Macaca mulatta: one gene and its partner. The protein of the gene in region 1 interacts with the protein of each later gene in a pairwise test. Links are inferred from orthologs where the notes say so. Each region holds a gene or a part of one and is shown in the gene's direction. Other genes may lie near its edges. The genes, in order: HNRNPF and HNRNPM.

The links.
Region 2: the proteins of HNRNPF (region 1) and HNRNPM interact in binary tests that used the Homo sapiens proteins (3 or more experiments, as listed by UniProt). The two-hybrid records come from large-scale screens. The link is inferred for Macaca mulatta from reciprocal best matches to the Homo sapiens genes HNRNPF and HNRNPM.

What each region holds. Positions count from the first base shown.
Region 1 is NC_133414.1:55,880,555-55,888,959, reverse strand, and holds the start of HNRNPF (heterogeneous nuclear ribonucleoprotein F), read left to right. Parts: upstream 1-3,545; 5' UTR 3,546-3,622; intron 3,623-8,405.
Region 2 is NC_133424.1:9,322,519-9,330,179, forward strand, and holds part of HNRNPM (heterogeneous nuclear ribonucleoprotein M), read left to right. Parts: intron 1-1,447; coding exon 1,448-1,549; coding exon of another isoform or gene 1,550-1,588; intron 1,589-4,721; coding exon 4,722-4,766; intron 4,767-5,224; coding exon 5,225-5,302; intron 5,303-7,661. UniProt on the Homo sapiens protein: Pre-mRNA binding protein in vivo, binds avidly to poly(G) and poly(U) RNA homopolymers in vitro. Involved in splicing.

The sequences.
Region 1 (8,405 bases):
ATACCTACCTATCTGATTTTCACCCCCTTCCTATGGTGCTAAATATCTATCTGATTTTTGCAGGAACTATTTTCTGTAATTTGGCCTCAAATTACATAGTTTTCTCTTCTGACATTTTTACCTCTTCTGACAGCTCCTGCTTTACTCTTTCCGTTCTCTTTCTTGGAACTAGCTTTTTTTTTTTTTTTTTTTTTTTTTTTTTTTGACAAACTCCTTCCTTCATCACAGTCATCCCACTCATCATCTGACACTATTTTGAGCACTCCTTTACTTTCTCTGGTGATTTAGAAAATAACGTTCAGCCAGGTGCGTGGCTCAATCCAGTAATCTGAACATTCTGGGAGGCAGAGGTGGGCAGATGGCTTGAATCCAGGAGTTCCCGACCATCCTGGGCAACATAGCAAAACCCCATCTCTACAAAAAATACAAAATTTAAGGCCGGGCACGGTGGCTCACGCCTGTAATCCCAGCACTTTGGAAGGCCGAGGCAGGTGGATCACGAGTTCAGGAGATCGAGACCATCCTGGCTAACATGGTAAAACCCCGTCTCTACTAAAAAATACAAAAAATTAGCCGGGCGTGGTGGCGGGCTGCTGTAGTCCTAGCTTCTTGGGAGGCTGAGGCAGGAGAATGGTGTGAACCCGGGAACCAGAGCTTGCAGTGAGCCGAGATTGCGCCACAGCACTCCAGCCTGGGCGACAGAGCAACACTCGGTCTCAAAAAAAAAAAAATACAAAATTGAGCCAATAGTGGTGGTGCTACTCAGGAGGTTGAGGCAGGAGGATTGCTTGAGCCCAGGAGGTCGAGGCTGCAGTGAGCCGTGATTGTACCCACTGCACTCCAGCCTGACTGACAGAGAGAGACCCAGTCTGGAAATAGTAATAGTAATAATGTTCAGCTTAACCTGTGATGAGTGCCTTGACATCATCTCTTCATGAAGGAAGGTCCACCAAAATGAAATGATTATAATTATTAGCCTTACAAAGCGTGAGAAAAAAAAAAAAAATCTGTCCCTGGCTTAGCCATTAGCCACCAAATCTCTGTGTTCAGGTGCTCTGTGACTGAAAACCTTGCCCTCGACCTGGGTCTGAGTTACATTCTGAGGTTTGGGGGCTTCTCACACCACGGAATTACCACGTGAGCAACTTCGACCTGACAAATCCCTCCTAACGCTTGCCCCGCTCTGAGACGCCTTTAAGCGATCTCTGGAGTACTCAGCGTACTTTTTTTTTTTTTTTTTTTTTTTTTTTTTGAGACGCAGTCTCGCTCTGTCGCCAGGCTGGAGTGCAGTGGTGCCATCACGGCTCACGCAACCTCCGCCTCCCGGGTTCAAGCGATTCCCCTGCCTCAGCCACCCGAGTAGCTGGGACTACAGGCGCGCGCCACCACGCCCGGCTAATTTTTTGTCTTTTAGTAGAAACGGGGTTTCACCATGTTGGCCAGGATGGTCTCACTCTCCTCACCGCGTGATACGTCCGCCTCGGCCTCCCAAAGTGGTGGGATTACAGGCGTGAGCCATTGCGCCCGGCCCTCAGTGTACTTCTTTCCTTATTTTATTTTTTGAGACAGCCTCTCGCTCTGTCGCCCAGGCTGGACGCAGTGGAGCAGTCACGGATCACTGCAGCCTCGACCTCCCGGGCTCAAGCGATTCTCCCGCCTTAGCCTCCCAAATTACTGGGACCACAGGCTTGCGCCACCACGGCCTGCCATGGTTCTCATTTCCTTTTCCCATCCTAGTCTTCAAATCAGGAGTCCTTTGAGCGCACATTTCAGTGTCCTGCGGGGCTTACCAGTGGCCTTCCTCCAGGGCCTCAGGGGCAGTCAGAGGGATCTTTCCCGCCGCTCCACTTCCTCCTCCTCCTCCTCCTCCCCCATCCCCTCCCCACCCCTCCCTTCTCCTCCCCCCCATCCCCTCCCCACCCCTCCCTTCTCCTCCCCCCCATCCCCTCCCCACCCCTCCCTTCTCCTCTCCAGAAACGTCCTCGCTAGTCTGCCTCCGCCGCCTCCCCCACACCCCCGCCCCCAGTGTCGGCTCAGCTCCGCGCCCGGCCGGCCAACCGGTAGCTCCGCTCTGGGCGCGTCACAGTAGCGCCGTCGCGGCCCCGCCCCCGGGTGCAAGACGCAGAAGCTCCGCCCTACCGCGGTCCTTGCGTCCTTCCGGCTCCGTCGTGGAAGCAGGACTGCGCCGCGTCTTCCTTAAGGTGGGGTTCGGGGTGGCACTGAATCGCTGTCACGCCGGCAGGTAGCAGCGGGGTGGGGACGCGGGCTCCTTGGGCTTCTGTTTCCGGGTGCTCAGGGCAAAGGGCCGAGCCGGGGAGTAGGGCCGAGTCGGGGCCTGGCACGCCGGGAGCAGGAGGGCTTCCGGCAAAGCCGCGTGCTCTCGTCGGGCAGGCGCTAAGGACTGGGGCCGGCAGCGCGCCTGACCCCGCCCCTCGTAGGCCCCGCCCCGTGCTCGCAGCCGGGGGTTTCCATGGTGATGGTCAACAAGCCTCAACTGCCTCTGCTACAACTGCCAAGTTCCCCGCGTCCCACCCTCCTCTAGGTGCTCCGAGGGACCACCGGGGTGCCTGATGTGAGAGCGGGAGCGTAGAGACTCGGAGGCCGAGGTGAGGGGTGGCCGAAGTCTCCGACGTCGAAGGCCGCACACCCGTGACCGAGCGGGGACCGGGTCCCCCTGGGGGTGTGGACAGTGGGCCTGGGATTTGAGATTGGGGAGACCTTCCGAAGTCCAGGGCCCCGTACCCGGACTACCTGGGGTTTGGGCCTATTGGGGTGGGTGGGGCTGGGGCTGGGATTTGGGATCAGGGAGGAGAGATCTGAGTTTAAGCGCCACGCATCTGGGACCGATCGAGGACTGCACATAATGAGGGGCCGCGGCGCTGAGATTTGGGGGACGGATTCGAGGTCGAGGGGCCGGTACGTGGGACCGACGAGAACTGGACCCCCTGGGATCGGGAGACGCAGTGTCGGAGGTCGAGAGCCGCACGCCCAGATAGTGGTCCCACGCGGTGAGCACCGCGGGCTGAGATTTTGGAGTCAGGGGCTGCCGGGAAGACACGGCCGGCCGGTGCGTTAGTTCAGCCTCCTGGTCGGGCGCTGGCGACCACCGGAGGGCTCTGAAAGTGAGAACAGGCCTGGCTCAGTGGGAGGCCCAGCCGGGAGGATCTCTTGAGCCCAAGAGTTCCCGACAAGCCTGGGCAACATAGTGAAACTGTCTTTGCTAAAAAGTTAAAAAAAAAAAAATAGAAAGCCACGTGTGGTGGCGCGCGCCTGTTGTCCCAGCTACTCGAGAGGCTGAGGCGGGAGAGTTGCTTGCTCTGAGGAGGTCAAGGCTGCAGTGACAGTGACTGTGCCACTGCATTCCAGCCTGGCCGATGGGAGTGAGACCTTGTCTCAGAAGTAATAACAGTAGTAATAATACCTGAATAAAATGAAAGCCGCGCGCTCACGTGGCTGTAGGCGCCTGAGAGTTGCACAAGACTTCCTTGTGGGGAGTTGGCTCCGCCCTCCTCCCACGCCCGGTTCCCGGAGCCTTAGCTCTCTGCCCTGGGCCCATTTTCTTCCTCGGCGGCGCCGCGTGTCCTCGTAGCGCGGTCTCTGTGTTGGTCTCCTGCTCCTAGAGGTACCGTGTTTGTATCTGGGGTGAAAATCTGACTCGTGCGCGCTCTTCGGCTTAGTCGTCTTTTTTTTTTTCCCTTCTGCTTGTGTGTATGAAGCATTTTCGTCGATTCCGCCCTGCTCCTAGGAAACTTGAGGACGGGGCCCGGCTCCTGCTGCGCCGGCTGCCCCGCTCCCCCAACCGCAGAGTCGTGGACCAGGGTTTTGAGGAGCAGGGCACCCGACTCGCCCTCCCCGCCAGACCGCCCAGGTCGCGGGGACCCCTCCCGCTAGGTGCCTGGGATCCCCGCTCGGCTCCGCGTGTGTCCCGGCTGGAGGGTGGAAGGAGAGCCGAGCTCGGCCATTGCCCGCGGGGCGCCCTTCGCTGCGGCTTTTCGGTCTCCGAGCGGCCCGGGGACGAGCTAACGCGCCTCTTTAGTTTTCGAAACTGCTTGCGGGCGCTGGGGGCTCGGGCCGGCCATCTGCGTGGCGGGACAGGAGGCGCGCGCTGGCGGCTGCGCGCGAAGGGCAACGGGCGGCGACGGCGGCTTCCCGGAACCGCGCGGGGCGGGCGCTGCGCCGGGGTCAGGGCCACAGCCTCAGGCGGCAGGGAGTTCTGAAAGTGTTGTCTTCAGTCGTTCCTTTCAAAAAGTCATCTTAATTCTTCCAAAAATATACACATATAATTCTTTCTACTTATATTTTTAAAAGTTAGATACGTGGTTGTCTCTGAATTCCTAGTAAGATAAAAATTCATTGGGTTCTCTAGGTAGGTGAAAGATATCTTAAGTGCTATCCCTGAAAAGTGACTCGTTGCTTTTACAGAATTTATAAAATAAGACATTACTACTTTAATGAATGTAAAGAGAGAGATTGCTTTATTCCTAAGCAAAAAGATCTTTTGCCTTGTAGGTATTACATTCCGGTGTGCATTCTGTAGATTAGAGTCACTGCCGGCCGGGCGAGGTGGCTCACGCCTGTAATCCCAGCATTTAGGGAGGCCGAGGTGTGGGAGAATCGCTTGGGCGTCAGAGACCGACCCCGTCTCTATAAAATGATATATATATTATATATATTATTTTTTGAGACAGGGTCTCACTTTGTTGCCCAGGCTGTGTGATCTCGGCTGGCTGCCGAGATCCTCCTGTGCTCAAGGGGTCCTCCCACCTCAGCCGCCGAGTATCTGGGACCACGGGCATTCTCCAGCACGCCTGGCAAATTTTTGTATTTTTTGTAGAGATGGGGTCTCCTTGTGTTGCCCAGATTGATTTTCAAACTTTTGTGTTCAAGCGATTCTCACGCCTCTGCCTCCCAAAGTGCTGGGATTACAGGCGTGAGCCATCATGCCTGGCCACTTTTTTGTAAACTGTGAAGTTTTCTGTTAAGGGTAGCGTTACAAAGCTTTATTCAGGTAAAAATTGCAATTTATTTAAGGGAAAATAGTGAGTAAATAAAGTTACTTCTCCCACGTGGCCAGAACCTTGGAAAGTCTGGAGGCAAATGAGAGCCTAGTGCGGGTAGATGCCTGCAGGGGCTGCAGAAATGTGACAGGCCCTTTCCGTGGAGGTGACTTCTCTAATTCCCCTCCTCCACTGAGCTCTGGTTCTCTGCTCTTCGAGAGAACCACATTAGTTGATTCTTACTAGGTCCTAGAAGTTTTATTCCATTTTCTAATTACATTCTCAGGACTACTGTAAAAGGGGTTGCTATTAGCCCCAGATGAGAAAATGGAGGTTGGGAGAAGTCACGTGCCCAGGGACACAATTGGGACTGGGTCCCAAGTTGGACCGGGACACCCCTCCCCTGCCGGGGCCCTTGCCCTGTCTTAGTTCCCCTGAGCTACGGTTCTTTGGAGGGCAACAGGGTGGGCAGAGGGAGAACAGTCAGCCAAGACCACCCTGGGTTATTTTACAGCAAATCCCAGACCAATAAGGTGTTTATTAATAAATAAATCCGCAGTATTTCTAAGGACTTTTAAAATCTAACCATAATACTGCTATCATACCTAAAAATACATTCCAAAATACCAAGTTTCCAGGGTTTAAATGTTTCCGTATTAAATATTTTAAACAACTGGTTGGTTTGAGTCAGGATCCAAAGTCACACCTTATATTTTGTAGATAACTTTTTAAATTCAGAGCAGCACTGGCCAATAGAAGTATAATGTATGCTATAAATGTAATCTTATATTCTTTTTTTTTTTTTTTGAGACGGAGTCTCACTCTGTCGCCCGGGCTGGAGTGCCGTGCGGGTTTACGCCATTCTCCTGCCTCAGCCTCCCGAGTAGCTGGGACTACAGGCACCCGCCACTTTGCCGGGCTAGTATTTTGTGTTTTTTGGTAGAGACAGGGTTTCACTGTGTTAGCCAGAATGGTCTCGATCTCCTGACCTCGTGATCCGCCCGTCTCGGCCTCCCAAAGTGCTGGGATTACAGGCTTGAGCCACCGCGCCCGGCCAATCTTATATTCTCTAGTGGTAAAAGGAAACGTGATTCATTGTATTAATAATTTAACCTAACATATATCCACTATTAAAACACTTTCGTTTCTCCATGATCTTGACTAAAATAATTAAAAACAATCCTGTGAACCTGTCAAAATCCAGTGAGTTTTACACATACACATTTCAGGTGTGGTGAATGGATGCTGTATCAGTGATCATCTAGAAGTTCCCCTTTCTTAAAGGCCCCATTCCCGGTTATATTTGTCGGGTTGTCTTGCAGCATTCCTTCCCCACACTTCGCATTTTTCTGATTGTTTTTCCCTGGTGGCCTTTGAGTCTCTGTTCTTTATATTTGCTGTAAAGTGATAGTTACCTCTAGAAGTGGTGTTGGTTTTGGTTTTATTTTTGTTTTTAAAACAGAGTTTTGGTTTTGTTGCCCAGGCTGGAGTGCAATGGCAGTGATCTTGACTCACTGCAACCTCCGCCTCCTGGGTTCAAGCAGTTCTCTTGCCTCAGCCTCCTGAGTAGCTGGGATTACAGGCGTATTTTTAGTAGAGACAGGGAATCACCTTGTTGGTCAGGCTGGTCTCGACCTCCTGACCTCAGGTGATCCACCCGCTTCAGCCCCCCAAAGTGCTGGGATTACAGGTGTGAGCCACTACACCCAGCCTGGAGGTAGTTTTGATTCAGATGGGAGTTTTTGGAAAGAATACTTAGTTGAGGTGCTGTGCCCCTACTGGAGGCACATATTGGTTGGTATTTTCCCTTTTGTCATGTTACAGCAGCTATTAATGATCATTACCTAGATCTATTATTTTCTTAAATGGTTTCCAAATTAGTGATATTTTAATAATCGATTCCTTCTCACTTATTAGCAGGAATACTTTTATAAGATGATAACTCCTTCAATGATCATTTGATCGCTCTAAGATGTACTTTTGTTTTCCTTTTTTTTTTTTTTTTTTTTTAAGACTCTTTTTTTTTAAGAGTCTCACTCTGTCACCCAGGCTGGAGTGCAGTGGCAGGATCCGGGCTCAGTGCAGCCTGAGCCTCCTGGGTTCAAGCAATTCTCAGGCTCATGAGCAGCTGGGATTACAGGCGTGCAGCACCACCACGCCCGTCTAATAGTAGAGATGGTTTCACCATATTGGCCAGGGTGGTCTCAAACTGCTGACCTCAAGTGATCTGCCTGCTTTGGCCTCCCAAAGTGCTGGGATTACAGGCATGAGCCACCCACCACACCCAGCCCCCTACATTTTGTTTTTTTTTTTTTTTTTTTCAAGAAACAATTTCATTTTGATGCGCACACTGGAGTGCCATGGTGCAAACAGAGCTCACTGCAGCCTTGACCTCCTGGGCTCGGGCAATCCTCCTACCTCAGCCCCCCAAGTAGCTGGGATTACAGGTGTGTGCCACATGCCCAGCTAATATTTTTTTGTATTTTTTTGTAGAGAAGGGGTTTTGCCATGTTGCCCAGGGTGGTCTCCTGAGCTCAAGTGATCTGCCCACCTCGGCCTCCCAAAGTGCTGAGATTACAGGTGTGAGCCACAGTACATGGCCTCGTTTCTTCCTTGACATAAATTCAGTTTAGCATTTCTCATAAAACATTAAAAAATTACCTCTGTACTTTGTCTCCATTGATACATCAGTATGATAAATTGCAGTGATTGAGTTTGAAATGATCAACTACACTTGCATTCCTGAAATAAACCCAACTTGGTCATAATATTGCTTTACATATTGCTGGATTTGGTTGACTGATACTTGGTTTGGACTTTCACATCTGAGTTCTTGAGTAAAATTAGCCTGTGATACTTGATGAACTAATTGTAAACTCTTTTGGAAATGAAAAAATCAATTTCAAGTTCATTGTAGATCTAAGTGTAAAAATTTAGGTAAAAACATCAGCGCTTTGTAAGTTCAGATAACCATATGGGCTTGGGCTAGGAAAAAGATCTCTTGAAAATGACACAGACTGGACGGGGTGGCTCACACCTTTAATCCCAGCACTTTGGGAGGCTGGGGCAGGCAGATTGCTTGAGGCCAAGAGTCCAAAACCAGCCTGGCCAATGTGGTGAAACCCCATCTCTACTAAAAATACAAAAATTTGCTGGGGGTGGTGGTGTGCATCTGTAATCCCAGGCTGAGGCAGGAGAATTGCTTGACCTCAGGAGGCGGAGGTTTCACTGAACTGAGATCGTGCGCCTGCACACTAGCCTGGGTGACAGAGCCAGAGTCCGACTCAGAAGAGAAAAAGTGACACAGAGCAGGCAATGTAGGCTCACACCTGTAATCCTAACACTTGGGAGGTCAAGGTGGAAGAATGGATTTGAGCTCAGGAGATCAAGACCAGCCTGGGCAAGATG
Region 2 (7,661 bases), on another chromosome or scaffold:
GCATGACAGATGTATCTTGAAGGGAAATCTGTGGCTTCATGAGAAGGCTCGTTTGTTGAAAGTCAACATTAGTTAGAGAAGGATTACATTTCCTGGACATAACATACTCATTTCCCAAATAAATTGTCTGTGTGCTCATCTGAGCAGCGGTCACCCTGGACCGTGGTAGTGGCTGTTGTTGACTCTTGTTTTGGATCAGGAGGTGGAGCACACTGCTCCAGGGAGCCATGGCTCTTGGTCTCCCAGCCATTTCAGAGGCTTGACTTCAAAGCCTTCAGTGTTTTGAGGAGTAAGTAACCTTGGTGATCTCTTGCTGCTGTTGCTGTGCAGTTAAAGATGGAATGTTAATCAGGTTAAACGCCTGGGAAGTAGTGGCAGGTTTTATTTACTTTTTAAATGAATTTTGTTTTCTTTCTTTCCTTTCTTTCCTTCCTTCCTTCCTTTTTCTTTTTCTTTCTTTCTTTTTGATGGAGTTTCACTCTGTCACCCAGGCTGGAGTGCAGTGGCGTGGTCTTGGCTCGCTGCAACCTCCATTTCCTGGGTTCTAGTGATTCTCCTGTCAGCCTCCCGAGTAGCTGCGATTATGGGTGTGCGCCACCATGCCAGGCTAATTTTTGTATTTTTAGTAGAGATGGGGTTTCGCCATGTTGGCCAGGATGGTCTCGAACTCCTGACCTCAGGTGATCCACCTGCCTTGGCCTCCCAAGGTGCTGGGATTTCAGGCCTCGTGAGCCATCGCGCCTGGCCTTGTTATAATTTTTGAAACCTTACCTGGTTGTAGTTTAAGCCTCAGATGGTGGTTACCCCAAATATTGCAAGTGTCAGCTCTTTTGGCTGTTTCCAGAGACCAGCCTGTATTTCTGTGTCCCTGTTTGTGTTGGTAGAGCATGGAGTTGAGTGTGGGCTGGGTATCCAGTTGTGGGTTAGGAAGCTTTGGGGGAAGGAAGATAGGTTCTTTGAATACATACATTAGGTTCATTGTTACTAAAACCACCCAGATTCAGAGAGTAGCGTACATCCAGGATGTTGATTGGCTGGTTTGTAACGTGTTTTTTCATGAGAAACGTCCTTTGGGCTACTAGGGATTGGGCACATTTGTGCTGCTTGCCACCTGATGTCTTGAGTCACCTTTTTTGATCAGTTCTCAGTCCATGGGTTAGTGAAACAAATAGGCTCTCAAGAATCTTAGTGTGGGGGTTGTTAACTTTCCCCTGTGTTGGTTTTCAGCCGCCTTTGTTGTATACACACATATCCCAAACGCCAGAACAAGGTTCTGTTTCCAAATGTGCTGATGTTGAATTTTGCATTGGGCCCTGGGGTCACTGGTGGGTGGGGGTGGGTAGGCTGGAGTGGATAGCTGCAACTCACTAAACAAAGACTCTTTTCCTTTGAGGGTCAAGGTTTGCTAAATAGGGGAAAACTAAACTTCTTTCTCTTTTCCTTCCAGATGGCCTTGGTGGTATTGGCATGGGGTTAGGACCAGGAGGGCAACCCATTGATGCCAATCACCTGAATAAAGGCATCGGAATGGGAAACATAGGTCCCGCAGGTGAGAATGATAGTGCACCTTGCTTGGGGTTTTGGGGAAGTGAAAATTATTAATTATTGGGGCAACTGGACTTTGAGTAGTTTAAATGGAATAAATAGTTAACTGGGACAAAATTCCCTCCTATTCATCTCTGCCTCATTTTTAATAAAGGCAGTATTTTGTATTTTTATCAAGTTGAATCCTTGTTTAAAGTCATTATACTTTTTCATTGTAACCTCACGACAACCTTCTAAGCTGAAATAGTTGTGCCATTTGATAAGAGGAGGCAAGCCAGAGAGTTGCTCTTGCTCAAGGTCACACTGTCAGTTAGTGACAGGCTGCAGGTCTCCTGACCACAAGACCATAGCACTGCTGCAGTACCCTGAAAAGTGTCTTACCAAGACCCCGTGGGCCCTCCTGGTGTTTGCACAGCTGCTGCTAGAGAGCTAGGGGCATTGATAGATGCAAAAAAGGTGGAGAGGCCAGGCGCGCTGGCTCATGCCTGTAATCCCAGCACTTTGGGAGGCCGAGGTAGGCAGATCACAAGGTCAGGATTTGAGACCATCCTGGCCAACATGGTGAAACCCCATCTACTACAAATACAAAAATTAGCTGGGTGTGATGGCATACGCCTGTAGTCCCAGCTACTTGAGAGGCTGAGGCAGGAGAATTGCTTGAACCCAGGAGGCGGAGGCTGCAGTGAGCCAAAATCGCGCCACTGCACTCCAGCCTGGGTGACAGAGCGAGACTCCGTCTCAAAGAAAAACGGTGGAGAGGGCCTCACTCTGTGACAATGTGGCCGTCACAGGAAACATGGTGGACAGTGTTGTCTTTAAGAAGACAGGGATCCGCCGGGCGCGGTGGCTCAAGCCTGTAATCCCAGCACTTTGGGAGGCCGAGACGGGTGGATCACGACGTCAGGAGATGGAGACCATCCTGGCTAACACGGTGAAACCCCGTCTCTATTAAAAAATACAAAAAACTAGCCGGGCGAGGTGGCGGGCGCCTGTAGTCCCAGCTACTCGGGAGGCTGAGGCAGGAGAATGGCGTGAACCCGGGAGGCGGAGCTTGCAGTGAGCTGAGATCCGGCCACTGCACTGCAGCCTGGGTGACAGAGCGAGACTCCGTCTCAAAAAAAAAAAAAAAGAAGACAGGGATCCCAGCACCCGAGGTCAGGAATTTGAGACCAGCTTGGCCCACATGGCAAAACTCCATCTCTACTAAAAATACAAAAATTAGCCGGGCGTGGTGGCTTGCACCTGTAATCCCAGCTACTCGGGAGGCTGAGGCAGGAGAATCACTTGAACCCGGGAGGTGGAGATTGCAGTGAGCTGAGATGACATGACTGCAATTCAGCCTGGCAACAGAGCGAGACTCTGTCTCAGAAAAAAAAAAGCAACTGCATGAAAGCTTCAATGTGTAGAATAAACTCAGGCTTTGCTGTTTAGCATTTTCATTTCTGTATAATGATGTATTTTGATTCTATTAAGGAGTATTTCATTTTAATGACTTCAGACTTTGGTCTTTGTTAGAATCCTTTGAAATTGGAATTTGGAAGCCCCTCTATCCCACCATTGTCAGTGTTGCATATCGCTAGATTCTTCCAGGGTCACCCTGGGGCTGACTTAAGTTCTGGGCCACGACTTCAAATGGCTCTAACGTTTCCCCCTGACCCAAAACACACACACCCCACGTCTGACATCTAAACAGAAAGACTGGGGGTTGGGGAGGAAGTCTTGGTGTTTTTAGGAACTGGTTTTTATTTTGAAGATTTTACCTTTAACAGGGACTTTTTAAAAATCTATTTCTGTTCCCTAAAATTTTCTAAAAAGTTTATGTTCCGTAGAATGTGTCTTACAATTGTTTCCATTTCATGTTTAATACTGCCTAGCTTGAGGCCTGTGTGTGTGTGTGGTGTGGTGTGGTGGCTCACGCCTGTAATCCCAGCAATTTGGAGGCCAAGAGTTTGAGACTAGTCTAGGCAACATAGTGAGACTCAACCTCTACAAAATATAAAAAAAATTAGCGGCCGGGCGCGGTGGCTCAAGCCTGTAATTCCAGCACTTTGGGAGGCCGAGACGGGCGGATCACAAGGTCAGGAGATCGAGACCATCCTGGCTAACCCGGTGAAACCCCGTCTCTACTAAAAAATACAAAAAACTAGCCGGGCGAGGTGGCGGGCGCTTGTAGTCCCAGCTACACGGGAGGCTGAGGCAGGAGAATGGCGTGAACCCGGGAGGCGGAGCTTGCAGTGAGCTGAGATCCAGCCACAGCACTCCAGCCTGGGCGACAGAGCGAGACTCCGTCTCAAAAAAAAAAAAAAAAAAAATAGCCAGATGTGGTGGCGTACACCTGTAGTTCCAGCTACTTGGGAGGCTTAGGCAAGAGGATCACATGAGGCTGCAGGGAGCTATGACCATGCCACTACATTCCAGCCTCAGTGACAGGAGACCCTGTCTCAAAAAAAAAAAAAAAAAAAACCCTGCCCGACTGGGTCATTAAACTGTGTAGATCCCATAGAAAAAAATTAGCTAGGCGTGGTGGCAGGCGCCTGTAATCTCAGCTAGTCGGGAGGGTGAGGCAGAAGAATTGCTTGAACCTGGGAGGTGGAGGTTGCAGTGAGCCAAGATTGTGCCATTGCATTCCAGCCTGGGTGGCAATACTGTGTCTAAAAAAAAAAAAATTTTTTTTTTTTAGCTATATATATATTTTTTTGAGTGGGAGTCTCGCTCTGTCGCCCAGGCTGGAGTGCAGTGGCTGGATCTCAGCTCACTGCAAGCTCCGCCTCCCGGGTTTACGCCATTCTCCTGCCTCAGCCTCCCGAGTAGCTGGGACTACAGGTGCCTGCCACCTCGCCCGGCTAGTTTTTTGTATTTTTTTTTTTTTAGTAGAGACGGGGTTCACCGTGTTAGCCAGGATGGTCTCGATCTCCTGACCTCGTGATCCGCCCATCTTGGCCTCCCAAAGTGCTGGGATTATAGGCTTGAGCCACTGCGCCCGGCCCAGCTATATGATACTTGACAGTTGAAATGGTAGGGGCTTTTTTTCTTGCTAATTAAAATATATAAAATATACTTGTCATCAGGGATTTTCTTTTGAGTTCTTTTGCTGGTTTGGAATTATGCTTTTTAAGTTCAAATGTTATTTACTGCTTTGACATAATTTTAGTTTGCATTGACTTTTTCTTTTTAAGGAATGGGAATGGAAGGCATAGGATTTGGAATAAATAAGATGGGAGGTAAGAAATTTAAAATGAAGTACAAGCATAATCACTTTTAGGCATGGTTTTCTCTCTTTCCTCTTTTCTTTCTTGTTTAAACCCTGCATGAAATTCTCTTTGGTTTCAGTTTGAGTCTAGAAATGACTTCCTCCTGCCTGTCCATCCTTCCAGCGGGTGTCTTGGCTTTTGGTTCTGGCTGTCTCACTAACTAGCTCTGTGACCTTGGGCAGACCACTCCATCTCTGTGCCTCTTTTTGCTTGTCTGTTCATTGAGGGGGTTGGATCAGAGCAGCTTTTTGAAGGTGGTGATTTTTAAACAAGGGTGCTAGCATTTTTTTGTTTTTCAGAAGCCCTTAAACTTGATAGATAAGTTCTTGGCAGAAGATACCCCAGTTGAAACGTGATAGAATTTTTCTTTCCCTGCTCAGTCTAAGCAGTCTTGTTGGGTGATGCTGAAATGTGAACATCTCTTGCAGGAATGGAGGGGCCCTTTGGTGGTGGTATGGAAAACATGGGTCGATTTGGATCTGGGATGAACATGGGCAGGATAAATGGTAAGCATCGTGTTTTCTTCCTGCTTTCACCCACCCTTTGTCGGCTGTTGCCTCTCAGGTGACCTTAGGCTACAGACCCACTGAATAAGTGATTTCTCACTTCTGCTTTTCAGCCGAATCAAATGTCTTTTGAATTGCCTTAAATATTTCAAGAACTAGACATAATAGTCGACTTACTTCACTTGGTCGCTAGTCTTTGAGCTGTCCTGTGTTCCCAAGCTCTGCAGTAATATTCGAGTACAGTGTTAAAAAGCATGTACATGTTTGTGGTTATGGTCTCTTGAGTATGAGGGATTCTTTAAAGTTTGTGATCAAGTTTGTCTGTCTCTAGGAGCGCTGGAAGGGGTAGTTCTTGGTCATCTGTCCCAGCTGCAAGTTGTCCATAGAGGTGTTAATAAAAAAAGAGCCTTGTCTACAGGCTCTTTTAATTTAGTATTTGCATTATGCAAATTCTGGTTTAGTGTAATTCAAATCCTTCACCAACTTTTCTTTTCTTTTTTTTTTCTTTTATTTTTAATGAGACAGGGTCTCACTCTTTTGCCCAGACTAGAGTGCAATGGTGCGATCTTGGCTTACACTGCAAGCTCCACCTCCCAGGTTCAAGTGATTCTCCTGCCCCAGCCTCCTGAGTAGCTGGGGTTACAGGTGTACGCCACCACGCCTGGCTAATTTTTATATGTTTAGTAGAAACGGAGTTTCACCATGTTGGCCAGGCTGGCCTCGAACTCCTGACTTCAGGTGATCCGCCCACCTCAGCCTCCCAAAGTGGTGGGATTACAGGCGTGAGCCACCATGCTCGGCCCCCACCCCCAACTTTTTGACAGAAATATAATGATAATATAATAACAATGTAGTATTGCATTTATTCCTTGTGAGAACCACATGATACGTACATACTGGTATCCCCGTTTCATCCAAAACTGAGGCACAGAGAGTGACATGCCTAAGTCACGTGACTGGTAAACGGTGGTGCCTGCATGTGAACCCAGGCTGTCTGGCTCCAGAGCCTGGCACTTCATCACGTGGGAATCCTGCCTTCTAGAAGTGCCTCCAGCACAGCACTTAGCCCACGGCACCAGCAGGGCTACAGAGTGTGCATGATAAATTGGAAATCTTCCTTTTTGAAATCCTCTATGTGTTGGTGACTCTTTGACCTTCCCCTTCACCACAGGAAAGCTGCTGCTTTTTTACACAGAAACTTTCTTGGAATGGGAAGTCATTAGGAATTTGGGTATAAACCTTCCTTTGCGGGTCTGTCATAACAGAGAATGTGAAAATGGTACAAGGACAGACATCACTGTCAGGCTTGAAAGGCGGCTGTCCCCGGTGATCAGGCCCTTCCAGTGCACAGGGAGCAGTGGGGCATGATGTGTGTTGCCCTCTTCATGGGTGCCTTGTTCTAGAAGCTAGTAAAAGGATGTAGGAAAGTCGTCACCATTAGTTAGTAATAAAGCAACAAAGGTCTCTGTTTCCAGCGTACATTCAAGCTTGCCTGTAACTTGTGTGTGCTTGGGATTTTATTTATTTATTTATTTTATTTATTTTTTTTGTTGTTGTTTGTTTTTTTTTCTTTGAGACGGAGTCTCACTCTTGTCTTCCAGGCTGGAGTGCAGTGGCATTATCTCGGCTCAATGCAAGCTCTGCCTCCTGGGTTCACGCCATACTCCTGCTTCAGCCTCCCGAGTAGCTGGGACTACAGGCCCCCGCCACCACGCCCGGCTAATGTTTTGTATTTTTAGTAGAGACGGGGTTTCACTGTGTTAGCCAGGATGGTCTCGATCTCCTGACCTCGTGATCCGCCCGCCTTGGCCTCCCAAAGTGTTGGGATTACAGGCGTGAACCACCGCGGCCAGCTGGAATTTTAATTTTTAAAAAAAGTTTCATACATCTGGCTTGGTAAAATGTTACTCAGAGCAGATTAGTCTGGGTGTGCTGGCTGACGCCTATAATCCCAACACTTTGGGAGGTCGGGGTAAGAAGATTGCTTGAGCTCAGGAGTTCAAGATCAGCCTAGGCAACATGGCAAAACTGCATTTCTCTCTCTCTCTTTTTTTTTTTTTTAAAAAAGAACAGATTAGTCATTAAAAGGGAATTTTGAGTTGTTGCTGTGAGGAGCAGAGTGGTGCAGTTTAGAAGTAGATGGAAACCAGGATGGGTTGGCCTGGGAGCTGTGCTGAGCTGTGTAACACAGTTGGTGGTGAACTGGCAGGTGTAATCTCGCAATCAGGATTCAGAGCCTGGGGTAGGCAGTGGCAAAGGATTCCAAGTGCCGATTCTCTGGAGAACCACAAATGGAGTGTGTGTTCCTAGACTGTTCTTAGATGTTCTGAGATATGGCACTCAGAGTGCTCCCCGTGCC